Linked DNA regions of Canis lupus familiaris. The protein of the gene in region 1 purifies or fractionates together with the protein of each later gene. This does not show direct contact. Links are inferred from orthologs where the notes say so. Each region holds a gene or a part of one and is shown in the gene's direction. Other genes may lie near its edges.

What was found.
Region 2: the proteins of RABGGTA (region 1) and CHML purify together in Homo sapiens (co-immunoprecipitation; 3 studies listed by BioGRID and IntAct, counting the BioPlex papers as one, with this or other methods). This does not show direct contact. The link is inferred for Canis lupus familiaris from reciprocal best matches to the Homo sapiens genes RABGGTA and CHML.
Region 3: the proteins of RABGGTA (region 1) and CHM purify together in Homo sapiens (co-immunoprecipitation; 4 studies listed by BioGRID and IntAct, counting the BioPlex papers as one, with this or other methods). This does not show direct contact. The link is inferred for Canis lupus familiaris from reciprocal best matches to the Homo sapiens genes RABGGTA and CHM.

Annotation. Positions count from the first base shown.
Region 1 is NC_049229.1:4,373,550-4,377,666, reverse strand, and holds the start of RABGGTA (geranylgeranyl transferase type-2 subunit alpha), read left to right. Parts: upstream 1-1,251; 5' UTR 1,252-1,384; exon of another isoform or gene 1,385-1,476; intron 1,477-1,694; 5' UTR 1,695-1,748; coding exon 1,749-1,751; intron 1,752-1,910; coding exon 1,911-2,021; intron 2,022-2,390; coding exon 2,391-2,515; intron 2,516-2,701; coding exon 2,702-2,889; intron 2,890-3,131; coding exon 3,132-3,335; intron 3,336-3,645; coding exon 3,646-3,729; intron 3,730-3,816; coding exon 3,817-3,899; intron 3,900-3,987; coding exon 3,988-4,089; intron 4,090-4,117. UniProt on the Homo sapiens protein: Catalyzes the transfer of a geranylgeranyl moiety from geranylgeranyl diphosphate to both cysteines of Rab proteins with the C-terminal sequence -XXCC, -XCXC and -CCXX, such as RAB1A, RAB3A, RAB5A and RAB7A.
Region 2 is NC_049228.1:32,966,998-32,971,075, reverse strand, and holds CHML (rab proteins geranylgeranyltransferase component A 2), read left to right. Parts: upstream 1-1,183; 5' UTR 1,184-1,212; coding exon 1,213-3,168; 3' UTR 3,169-3,951; downstream 3,952-4,078. UniProt on the Homo sapiens protein: Substrate-binding subunit (component A) of the Rab geranylgeranyltransferase (GGTase) complex. Binds unprenylated Rab proteins and presents the substrate peptide to the catalytic component B.
Region 3 is NC_049260.1:66,851,711-66,855,358, reverse strand, and holds part of CHM (rab proteins geranylgeranyltransferase component A 1), read left to right. Parts: intron 1-455; coding exon of another isoform or gene 456-481; exon of another isoform or gene 482-500; coding exon 501-661; intron 662-3,648. UniProt on the Homo sapiens protein: Substrate-binding subunit of the Rab geranylgeranyltransferase (GGTase) complex.

The DNA of each region.
Region 1 (4,117 bases):
AGTGTCTCTTTTCCTCTGTGATTCATTATAGGGCCTAGGAAAGACAGACTATATAGCGGGCACTATACATACATTTGCAGAGCCTGAGAAAGATGTGGAAGAAATATAAAGAATTTAAAGCCATACTTTCTTAAATGTGAGCTATAAACACAGGGCACATGGACACACACTTCTCACAAATACATCACATAGGCTCAGTCACATATACACACTCACTGGCCACCTTGAACCCCAGGAAGGCTCTCTAGGAAACCTTCCTGAGCTGGTCCAGGAGCCACAGAAGGCTTTAGGCAGAGATGTGATATGATCAAACCTGCATTTTAGGAAAGCTGATCCAGCAGCACAGATGATGAATTTATAATGGAGATGACAGAGTAGAGATTGGGGAAACATTGAAAAGGCTTTCAACACACAGGGAAGAAATGAGCTTGGATTCTAGTGCAGTGTTTAAGAGTTACTACAGAAATTTGGGGAGAGAATAGTGCCATTCCCTATAGTAGGAAACATAAAGGCCAAAGTTTAAGAATGGATGGAATACAGTGAAACCTTTTACTTTAGGAGGCTCAGATGTCTCTGGAACACCCAGGTGACGACGTCCAATAGGCTGATGAATGTGTACATATATATGTTCATTTTTACAGCTCACAAGACATCTGGGCTGGAGACACAAGTTTGAGTGTTATCAGCTTACAGGGAGTAATTAAAACCATGACTGTGGATGAAGTCACCCAGAGAAAGTGTGAGGCCAGAAAAATCTGTGGGTCCAGGACAGAGCTCTGGGGAGCTCCGACTCCAAACGGGAGAAGGCTTGGACTTGTGAATGTTCTCCCAGGAATAGCGTGTGATGTGAAAGGGGGTGAGGAAAGGGCCCTGGCGATCACCAACATCTACGGAAGAAGGTGCACAGCGAGGAAGAGCGGTTCAGAGGCGCAGGAGAAGCCAGGAAAGGTTGTCACGCGGCAGGAAGTCGGCTACATAAAAGCTACAGACAGGAGACTCCACCCGTTCGATGTGGCAACTAGGAGGCGGCCACGGTGCCCAGAGTGATGTCAGCGGGATGGTGAGTGCGTGAGCCCCCCGCTGTCTAAAAAACTGCAGTTTGAGCAGCTGACCAAACGCAAGGCCCGACAGCTCCCACGCGCGCTGCAAAGCCGCGCATGCGCACTCGGAGGCACCAGCGGGCTAATCACAGGGCTGTGGCCTCTTGGGCGGGGACGGGCGCACGCGCCTCCCGAGCCCGCCTACTCCGCCCACGGCCCCTCCCCGGCCTGCAGAGGGCGCTGCGCCTCGGAGAGCCGGGCGTGGAGCCGCTCTAGCCTACGCCCGGGCTCGGTGGCGGGCGCCGCAGCTCCGCGCGCCCCCCAGACACCTCCCCTCGGCGCAGGTGGGTCCGCCCGCGGGGGGCGGGAGCGCCCGGCATCTGCGGGTGGGCGGGTAGCGGCAGCCCGCGGGCGCGGAGTGGTCCCCGTCGCTCAGGTGCCCTGGCGTGGGTCCGGCCCGGAGGGTCGCGCTGCGGCAAGGCGGCACGGGCGCGAGTGCCGGTCTGGGTGGGCGCCTCCTCCCGGACAAGCGCTGCGCGTCCCGGGACCCGCTCTCGCCGGGGTCCTCGGCACAGGCTCGCGTGCGGCTTCCGGGGACCAGCTGGGGGCGGGGCTAGCGGGCGGGGCTCCCGTGATTGACACTTCTCTCCCCAGGTCTCTCGGGCTTTCTCTGGACCCCTCCCCTGTCCTGAACCCTGAGCCGGCACCATGGTGAGAACCGTCCAGCCCCTCACCTCCGCATGCCCGCGGACCGCGTAGCCTCGCCTCCGTTGCCCTCTGTATAGCTAGGGCTGCGCCGTCGGGGGCTCGGGGGTCTGCCCCTGCGAGGCAGCCTGCACCCCTCCAACCCCGCCCCCGCGATCCTTGTAGCACGGGCGCCTGAAGGTGAAGACCTCGGAAGAGCAGGCGGAGGCCAAAAGGCTAGAGCGGGAGCAGAAGCTGAAGCTCTACCAGTCAGCCACCCAGACTGTCTTCCAGAAGGTGGGGCCCTTAGGGGTAGCCCCTTTTCCAGGTGGCCTCTTAGTATAGCACAGAGGCCAGGAGCTGGGCCTTAGAGTCAGACTGCCTGGATCTATATCTCGGTTCTATGACTTACAAGCTAAGCTGTGCGACCTTGGGCAAGTCCTTGACTTTTTTTAAGTTTCAGTTTGCTCTTCTGTAAAATGGGCCTTACTGCATAAAGTTGTTGTGAAAATTCATTGAGAGGATACCCAGAAGCCCATAAAGCATTCTGCGTGGTACCTATTGTGTAGCATGTGTTTACAGAATATTCAGGAGTTCTGATTATTGCTACTTAACCTCACAGTAGGAGAATGATTTGATCTCTGACCCTGCTGCCTGTCTTCTCAGCGCCAGGCTGGTGAGCTGGATGAATCAGTGCTGGAACTGACAAGCCAGATTCTGGGAGCCAACCCTGACTTTGCCACCCTGTGGAACTGTCGGCGTGAGGTGCTTCAGCGGCTGGAGGCCCAAAAGTGCGTAGGAGTTCAGGGCCCCAGGAAGATGGTGCTGGCCCTGCCCTGCCTGGGTCCAGGGGTAGAGGAAGAATGGGGCAGCCAGGGGTATAGGCAGAGGGTAGTGGAGGGCTGGGTGTAGAAAGGCAGAGGTGAGCTGAGGTTGAGTGCTGGAGGGCCCTGAGTCCCATTTCCCTCTGGGTGCAGGTCCCCCGAGGAGCTGGCAGCTCTGGTGAAGACAGAACTGGGCTTCCTGGAAAGCTGCCTGCGGGTGAATCCCAAGTCCTATGGTACCTGGCACCACCGCTGCTGGCTGCTGGGCCGCCTGCCGGAGCCCAACTGGGCCCGGGAGCTGGAGTTATGTGCCCGCTTCCTCGAGGTTGATGAACGGAACTGTACGTGTCTGCCTGCTGATCTGCCCTGCATTCTGGTTACTGGGGCCTCAGGAAGGCCCAGAGTTGGGAGGGATGGCCAGGATGGGCCTGCGAGCTGATGGCAAAGGGGCTGATGGAGACAAACCAATACCCTGTAGAACACACATGGGAGTTTCTTGAGGGCTTCTAAGAGAACTTGAGGGGTTCCAGCTATGGAGCTCCCCTTGCCCTACTTCTGAGATGTGCTGTCACTGTTCCCCTAGTTCACTGCTGGGATTACCGGCGTTTTGTGGCCGCTCAGGCAGCTGTGCCTCCTGCAGAGGAGTTAGCCTTCACTGACAGCCTCATTACCCGAAACTTTTCCAACTACTCCTCTTGGCATTACCGCTCCTGTCTCTTGCCCCAGCTGCACCCCCAGCCAGACTCTGGACCACAGGGACGTCTCCCTGAGGATGTGCTCCTCAAAGGTTAGCAGGGTCAGAGGGTGCTGGGGCAGACTATGGTGCTGTCTTTCCAGCCTTGTTACCTAACCCTGTTCCTGAACCTGCTGCTTGGGCTTATTGAGCACCTACTTTGTGCCTGGCTTTGGGGGTGTGTAAGATTCAGCCCCAGGCTGCAGGGAACACAAGTGTCCAGTGGGAAAGATGCAGCTGCTGTGCAAGGCCAGCAGATAAATGGAACCGAGGGCTGGCAGCACTCCAGGGGGAGGGTGGGATGCTGGGGTGGCCAGGAGCCACCAGGGTCCTGGCCATAGCCCATGCTCCTTGGCCCCTTCAGAACTGGAGCTGGTACAGAACGCCTTCTTCACTGACCCCAATGATCAGAGCGCCTGGTTCTATCACCGCTGGCTCCTGGGAAGAGGTGAGCAGTGGGGAAAGAGGCTGGGTCTTTAGGGTTTTGAAAGAACAGAAGAGGATATAAGGGGAGCTGAGTTTGTGTCTTCCCCAGCTGACCCCCAGGATGCCCTGCGCTGCCTGCACGTGAGCCGAGATGAGGCCTGTCTGACTGTCTCCTTCTCTCGGCCTGTCCTGGTGAGTCCTGCAGCTTTTCCGAGAAAGCATCATGGATGTGGGTCTGGTGCTGTGGGGCTGACAGGTCTGTCTTTGTCCCCTGGGCCAGGTGGGGCCCAGGACAGAGACATTGCTGCTCATGGTGGACGAGTCACCCTTGGCTGTGGAATGGAGGACCCCAGATGGCAGAAACTGGCCTGGCCACGTCTGGGTATCCCAGGATTCGAGGAGCAGAGTGG
Region 2 (4,078 bases), on another chromosome or scaffold:
CAAAGAACGTGTTAATCTTAGCAGAGGATGTTGAGACAGGCCTTTATCTTGGGATACAGAGATTCAAGGTCATAGAGCCAGAGTCTGGCAAAATGCAAGTCACCCTATGTTCTCTTGGATTTTTTTTTTCTCTTGGATTTTAGAAGTAGGTATTTTTTATGTTAAGATATTTTAATTTACAAAGGTAGGAATTTTCTGTTTTAACTTAAACCTAAAAAAAATACATGTGCATATGTACATTCATATGAAGATTTGTTAAAAATGCCTATTTTCCTTCAGTAGACCTGTTTGCACCTAAATATCTCGAAATGCCAGTTGTTTTAATGAATTAATCCTTTTGCAATAATCTGGCTGGTTAATTCAGTTGAAATGGTCTCATGATGCTACCACGAGATCCTAAGGGTGGTTGTGGCATGGAAATATCTTTCATTCAACTGTTCTAAAATCACCCACAGGCTAAATTGGCTGCAGAAATATTCCTCATCATGACAATGTGCACATAGTATGTAGTCTGTTTCCATAAACACGGCGGAACCACACATTTCTTACAGTCTAAGCTCACAGTTCTGTATAGTTTGTTCAAATATTTTATTAAAAGCAAAAGTTACAGAATTATATTATGGAAATCCTTTGCTTAATGGGACATCATGATGTCCCTTCCTCATTATTGCGTGTTTTTGGGGGTAAATCTCTTTTGTCCATTTTTGAGAAATTAGAAAATATGTAAGAAAGCATTTAATGACTTGCTTTCCTAGAGGCTTATGTCTTGATAACAAGTCAGACTCCAATGGAGTAATTGTAATTGCTGTTGCATGAAATTATTTTTCTCTTAATATTGTTTACAACTGTATTCTTTCTTGAATTTTCTTCTTTCAGAGAAGAGTTCCAGTCACAAATGCATGTGTGATGCATTTTGACATTTACTGCTAAGATGAAATGCAGGAATGAAAACCACACATCCGTTTTAGTGTTCTCAGATGTGATTAGATATACCTTACCTATTTTTATGCTACTGACTTATAAGGAAAACAATATTAAGAAAGGGTAACTGTTAAACAGTTAGGACCTGCAACCTCAGGACTTCTGGGATGAACTGGAGTATCACAAGGAGAGATTTTATTACAGCATATTCACACCTCCGCTGAGCCCTCAGCCTTGACTCACATACATTTCTTTTATCGACGGTTGTCACCAGACCCTTTATCTCCCAGAATGGCGGACAGTCTTCCCACAGAGTTCGATGTGGTCATAATAGGGACAGGTCTACCTGAATCCATCCTGGCAGCTGCATGTTCAAGAAGTGGTCAGAGAGTTCTTCATCTTGATTCAAGAAGTTACTATGGAGGAAACTGGGCAAGTTTCAGCTTTTCGGGATTGCTCTCCTGGTTAAAGGAGCATCAGCAAAACGGTGACAATGCAGAAGAAAGCACTGCTTCATGGCAAGGCCTGGTGCATGAAACAGAAGAAGCCATTGCTCTTCGCAAGAAGGATGAAACCATTGAACACATAGAAGTTTTCTGTTATGCCAGTCAGGATATGGATGACAATATTGAAGAGATCAGTGCTCTGCAGAAAAATCCTTCCGCAGTAACATCTAAACCTCTGGATTCTGTGTGCTTGTCCGAAGAAACAAACTCATTACATGTTACTAGCTCTGAAACGCATGCCAAAGACACTCCAAAAAGTGATGAAGAGATTTCACTGGAAGTAACTGATGTAGAGGACATCTTGGCAGAAGAAAAATGTTGTGGAGATAAAACCTGTATAAACACAGCTTCAGGTGGAGATAAAGATGAAAACAAACCTATAGAGGAAGATAACACTGATCAACCAAAGAGAAATAGGATTACTTACTCTCAAATAGTTAAAGAAGGCAGGAGATTTAATATTGATTTGGTATCAAAGCTGCTGTATTCTCAAGGATTGCTAATCGATCTTTTAATCAAATCAAATGTTAGTCGTTATGCAGAATTTAAAAACGTCACTAGGATTCTTGCATTTCGCGAGGGAAAAGTAGAACAGGTGCCTTGTTCCAGAGCAGATGTCTTTAATAGCAAAGAACTCACTATGGTTGAAAAGAGGATACTGATGAAATTTCTTACATTTTGTTTAGACTATGAACAACATCCTGATCAATACCAAGCTTTTGTGCATTGCTCATTTTCAGATTACTTAAAAACTAAAAAATTAACCCCCAACCTCCAACATTTTGTGCTGCACTCAATTGCAATGACAGAGTCCTCTTGCACCACAATAGATGGCCTTAAAGCAACTAAAAACTTCCTTCGGTGTCTTGGACGGTTTGGCAACACTCCCTTTTTATTTCCCTTGTATGGCCAAGGAGAAATTCCCCAGTGTTTCTGCAGGATGTGTGCAGTTTTTGGTGGAATCTATTGTCTTCGCCATAAAGTTCAATGCCTTATAGTTGACAAAGAATCTGGAAGATGTAAAGCAATTATAGATCACTTAGATCAAAGAATAAATGCTAAATATTTTATTGTGGAGGATAGTTACCTTTCTGAGGAAACATGCTCAAATGTGCAATATAAGCAGATCTCCAGGGCAGTGCTCATTACAGATCAGTCTATACTCAAGAAGGCAGATTCAGATCAGCAAATTTCCATTTTGATAGTGCCTCCAATGGAATCAGGAACATGTGCTGTTCGTGTCACTGAATTATGTTCTTCAACCATGACATGCATGAAAGACACCTATCTGGTACATCTGACCTGTTCATCTTCTAAAACAGCAAGAGAAGACTTAGAGTCAGTAGTGAAGAAATTATTCACCCCATATACTGAAACAGAAATAGACAAGGAAGAACTCACAAAGCCAAGACTCTTGTGGGCTCTTTATTTTAATATGAGAGATTCCTCGGGAATCAGCAGAAGCTCATACAATGGCTTACCTTCCAATGTTTATGTCTGCTCTGGGCCTGACTGCGGACTGGGAAATGAGCACGCAGTCAAGCAAGCTGAAACACTTTTCCAGGAGATCTTTCCCAATGAAGACTTCTGCCCCCCACCTCCAAATCCAGAAGATATAATCTTTGATGGTGATGATAAGCAACCTGAGGCTCTTGGAACCAATAATATAATCATGGCCAAACCAGACTCCTCTGAGGAAAATAAAAACCCAGAAAGCCCAGAGAACCACCTTCAAAACTAGAAAGGAGCAAGCTGGAAATGCTCTTTTGGGCCTTCATCCTGACATCAGAATATTTTCATTTAAAGAACCATTTCCTATGTGATTAATAAGAATTGGTTATATGATGAATGCTATGCAGATGTTGTCTTTACTTCTATTTGAGACATTCAGTCACGGGATCTTGTTAACTTATCAGCAACTGATTGATTGATTATTGGACAAGGTTAGCTCTATTTTAGTATTGAGTATATAAGTGTGGGTTCCAAATTAGCAACTGTGCGTACTGGGAGGTAATACATGTCTGCTAATGATCTTCAGATTTATTAGTCTATAAAAACAATAATATCTAAGGAATAGTTTAGTTATTTTTGTAATTATTACAGTTGCTACCATGTCTGAATAGTTAAACACACAGAATAAATTATGTGGGTCTTTTGTATATAATACAAATGTACAGACATGGTGGTAGCAATAGCAACTTATGCAAGTGCCAAGTGTTAAAAGATTAGCTTTGCATGATCCTTTATTTGTGAAGGTGTAGTGTTTACAACACATTGTGCAGTTCAGTTCCCCTACTTGACCCTTACAAGCAGCAGGGCAGTGACACCACCAGTCTTCTGTATTACAAAAAGTGTTGGACAGTTCATCTAGTCATTGAAGAGCTCATTCTTGGAAAGTTTGTCCCAAAGGAAATCTAAGGGTAAGGTTAGTTCTGGTTTAATACTTCAGAAAATTCCTGCAGAGCCTTGTGCTGGCACCTAAAAGAAAAGAACTTCCAACAACTAATTCAGGTCAAGAGAAAAAAAAAAAAAAAAAAATATATATATATATATATATATATATATATATATATATATAGAAAAGGTACCTCAGGTTGGCTGTTTTGAAATTCCTAAGAAGAAATGGAGTGAGGCATTTCTAACCTGGGATA
Region 3 (3,648 bases), on another chromosome or scaffold:
CTCACCCCAATTCCTCCAGCCCTAAGTAACCACTAATCTACTTCCTAGCTCTATAGATTTGTGTCTTCTGGACATCTCATAATCCTGTATAGATCATTGACTTAATATATAATTTTTTAAGCTGGTTTGTTTATATAAAACAAAAAATTATTATCTTATTCAGTGGTATAATTTAAGGATGAATGTGTTCAGAAGCACTTTGATACTGCTATGTAGAAGTAATAGAAATCCAAGAGAACACAATTGGAGTTATATCTAAGTAACTTACTAGTGATCAAAATAATTTTTGATATCTAACTTGTCTTAGGTTGAAAAGCCATCAGTACTTGAAATATATACATGTATGAGTGGGTGTGGATAAAGATTTGCTATTTTTTACATACAAAGCTCTGATTTACTACACTATATAATCACGGCTTTGTTAGTAATTGGCTACAAATTGTATTAATTGACAGGTTTATTGTGCTTTAGATGTGAGTAAAATTTATGTCTACATTTAGAAAATGAAGAAGTTGAAAAACCGAGGCTTCTATGGGCTCTTTACTTCAATATGAGAGATTCTTCAGACGTCAGCAGGAACTCTTATAATGATTTACCATCCAACGTTTATGTCTGCTCTGGCCCAGACAGTGGTTTAGGAAATGATAATGCAGTCAAACAGGTAAGCTGTTGGTGTTTCTCAGTTTTGTGTTGAAAAGTTGGTTTGGTAGGGAAAGTGAATTGTTTTTTCCTCTAGAATGTGGGGAAAAAAGACTAGAAGAGCCTGTCTATCATTTAATACTATCTTTGTAATTTGCCTCCGAACTTTTTCCTGTGAATGACAAAGCTTCTTTATACTTAAAATATAGTCTTCAGTATTTTCATGTTCTTGACTATATGATGGATTTGCAGGAGAGCATTTATGAGTTCCATTGTGGGAATAAGGATGAAAGATGTTAAAAATATATATTCTGAAAAATAAAATTTATAATGCCAGTTTTCTAAAGGAACATGGCTTCTAATTTAAACTGTTGGCCTATTGTTTTATCATTTTGAAATACACTGTTTTTCTTTGTTAATCTCTGAGTCATTTCAAAAGGAGTGTAACTAATTATATACAAAATGTAATTTTTAAATTGTCTTAAAGCATTTTCTTATTTTGCAGAAGAACACGTAACTTACAGTTTTTCAGAGTTAACACAATTCCTTTAATGTTTTGACATAAGCTGGTGTCCCAAAAATTACTATCATAGCTGCTGAGGAATAGGTTAAATCAAGGTGGAATTTTGTGATAGCACTTCTGGGCAAAGCTATTAACTGGTACAGCACAGGCTGACACAAGCTGCCAAAAGTGAACTATGATTCCATTCAGATGAAGATCCATGTGTATATGTATTAATACACTTCTCTGTACCTGACAGAGAAGAACAGAAAATATATTTTTTGAGGCACAAATCTAAACTTTTCACAGATAGAATTGGCATATCTGTCTATTGAATCAAAAAGTGGATAATTTAACATTGTTTTAAGACCACAGATGGAAGTTTCAATCCAACTAGTGCTAGGGATCTTATGGAAACAAATGGCTTCATTGACTTAATTTTTAGTTGTACTGGCAAGGCCATAACCCATGTATCTATAGGTTTTTTTTGTCTCATTCCTTGTTTCTCATCTTCAGAGTTTAATGGTGATCCTGGATAATCCTATTCAACCAGTGATATCAAAAGTAGGGAGTCATCCATCATTCATTCTATTAGTTTAATAGGAACCCAAGATGGTTCGAGTTCTACATTTATGGCTTAAAATGACCAAGGCATTTTTGCTTTGATGTTCCAGTTTTTTCCAAGCAGAATTGCTGACATGTTTTCAGCCAGATAGCCTAGGTGATTTTTTTTAAGATCTATTATTTTAGAGAGAGATCCTGAGCACAGAGAGAGAAAGAGAAAAGCAGACTCCCTGCTGAGCACAGAGCCTGATGCGGGGCTTGATCTCCTGAGTGGAAATCAAGAGTAGGATGCTTAATTGAGGCACCCAGGCACCCCCTTGTGTAGGACATTTTTTTTCCTGAGTGGACTTCAGTGTTTTTTCACCAAAATGGGAAGGCTTTTCACATAAGAGCTTATTATTCAAGTTCTAATGTGATCTAAACTACCAGCTAAAAGGCTATAAATTAAAGGATAATTTTGTTATGAGATAATTTGCTTCCCAAGGAGATAGACTTCAGTGTTATCATAGTACAAAATAATAATAATGCTACTTTTGATACTAATTATATACTATTAAATATGAATAGTTTTCAAGTTGTTATATAGCTTTGTTCTAATTCAGTATTTCATCCTGTGTTTAGCCTAGTTACTAATTGATAACTTCTGTTTTCCAGATTGTCTATAAAAGTTCTTAGAGCATCACCTAGGCTTTGTCTGTGTAGCAAACATAAGCCACCTGCAGATTTCTATTTTTTAACAAATACTTTATTTGACCAATTAGCAAGTTTGCATCTATTTTTCTTATTTGTAGATATATAGATGTTGAATAGCATAGACTTGTCTCCCTTGTGTTCATATGGAACTATTTGATTTGAAAACATACTAAAAATATAAAGTGATCTGTGTTATACGAGTTAAAGTTGTGTGCAGGAGCACACCAAGACATTCTCTATTATCACCACAATGATGCTAGCCTAAGTAGCCCAAGTGATAATTGTGATTCTGTGACTTGCTAGTTTTTATAGCTTGTTACTCCAGGTTTTTTTTTTTTTTCCTGAAACCGATGTATCTCTTTTCTTAATACAGGTAGTATCCCATTTACTCACACATACTGATGAACAGACTGGTCTATAGTTCTTTACTCTCAAGATCACTGATAGCTCACTCCTCCTTCAGGAGCCCCCATCCTCTAGGAGGTGCCATCCCATGAGAACAAGAATAATTATATAGTAATGTATGTACTCTTTGTACTAAAGGTCAGCTATAAAATGGTTTAAATTTACTGATGTGAGCAGCCTAACCACCATTTAGAATGTTGTCTTTATGGCATATTAGCAATTTGTTTATAACTTTTGGTACAGAATTTGTAAGTTGAAGACTCTTTTTATAGATCATATGACCTATCAAGTTGCTCACATATTGCAGTATAACTCACTTTCTCATGCCATTGAGGGAGAGGGCAGTTTTAAGTGTCACATTTTCTAAAGCTACCATTCATTGAGTGTTTTCTGTGTACTAGACAATATCCTAAACATCATAAATATATTATTTCATTTGGTCCTTACAAACATATGACATCAGTATCTGTGACATGCCCATTTTACAAATGAGGAAACTAAGACCCAAAGGGGCTAAATAACTTGTCCAAAGATCACAGATCTCGTAGATTTGTGAGCCAAAACTTAAACTCAAGTCTGTTAGACCCCAGGGCTTATACATTCATCTGTACTGTGCTACTTTCATCTTGTTAATGTGGATACATCCTAAATACATTAAACTGCTAGACTGACAAAATATTTTTTTGTTTTGTGTAGATATATATTAAATAAACATAGGAATTTCTTCTGTAGCTCAGTGTGTCCTCTCTATACTTCCCAATATAAAGAAACCAAGTCACAATATAATTATGCCTTTTTAATTTTTTTTAACCACATGAAATTCTTTAAGCTAACTTCTGGCTTAA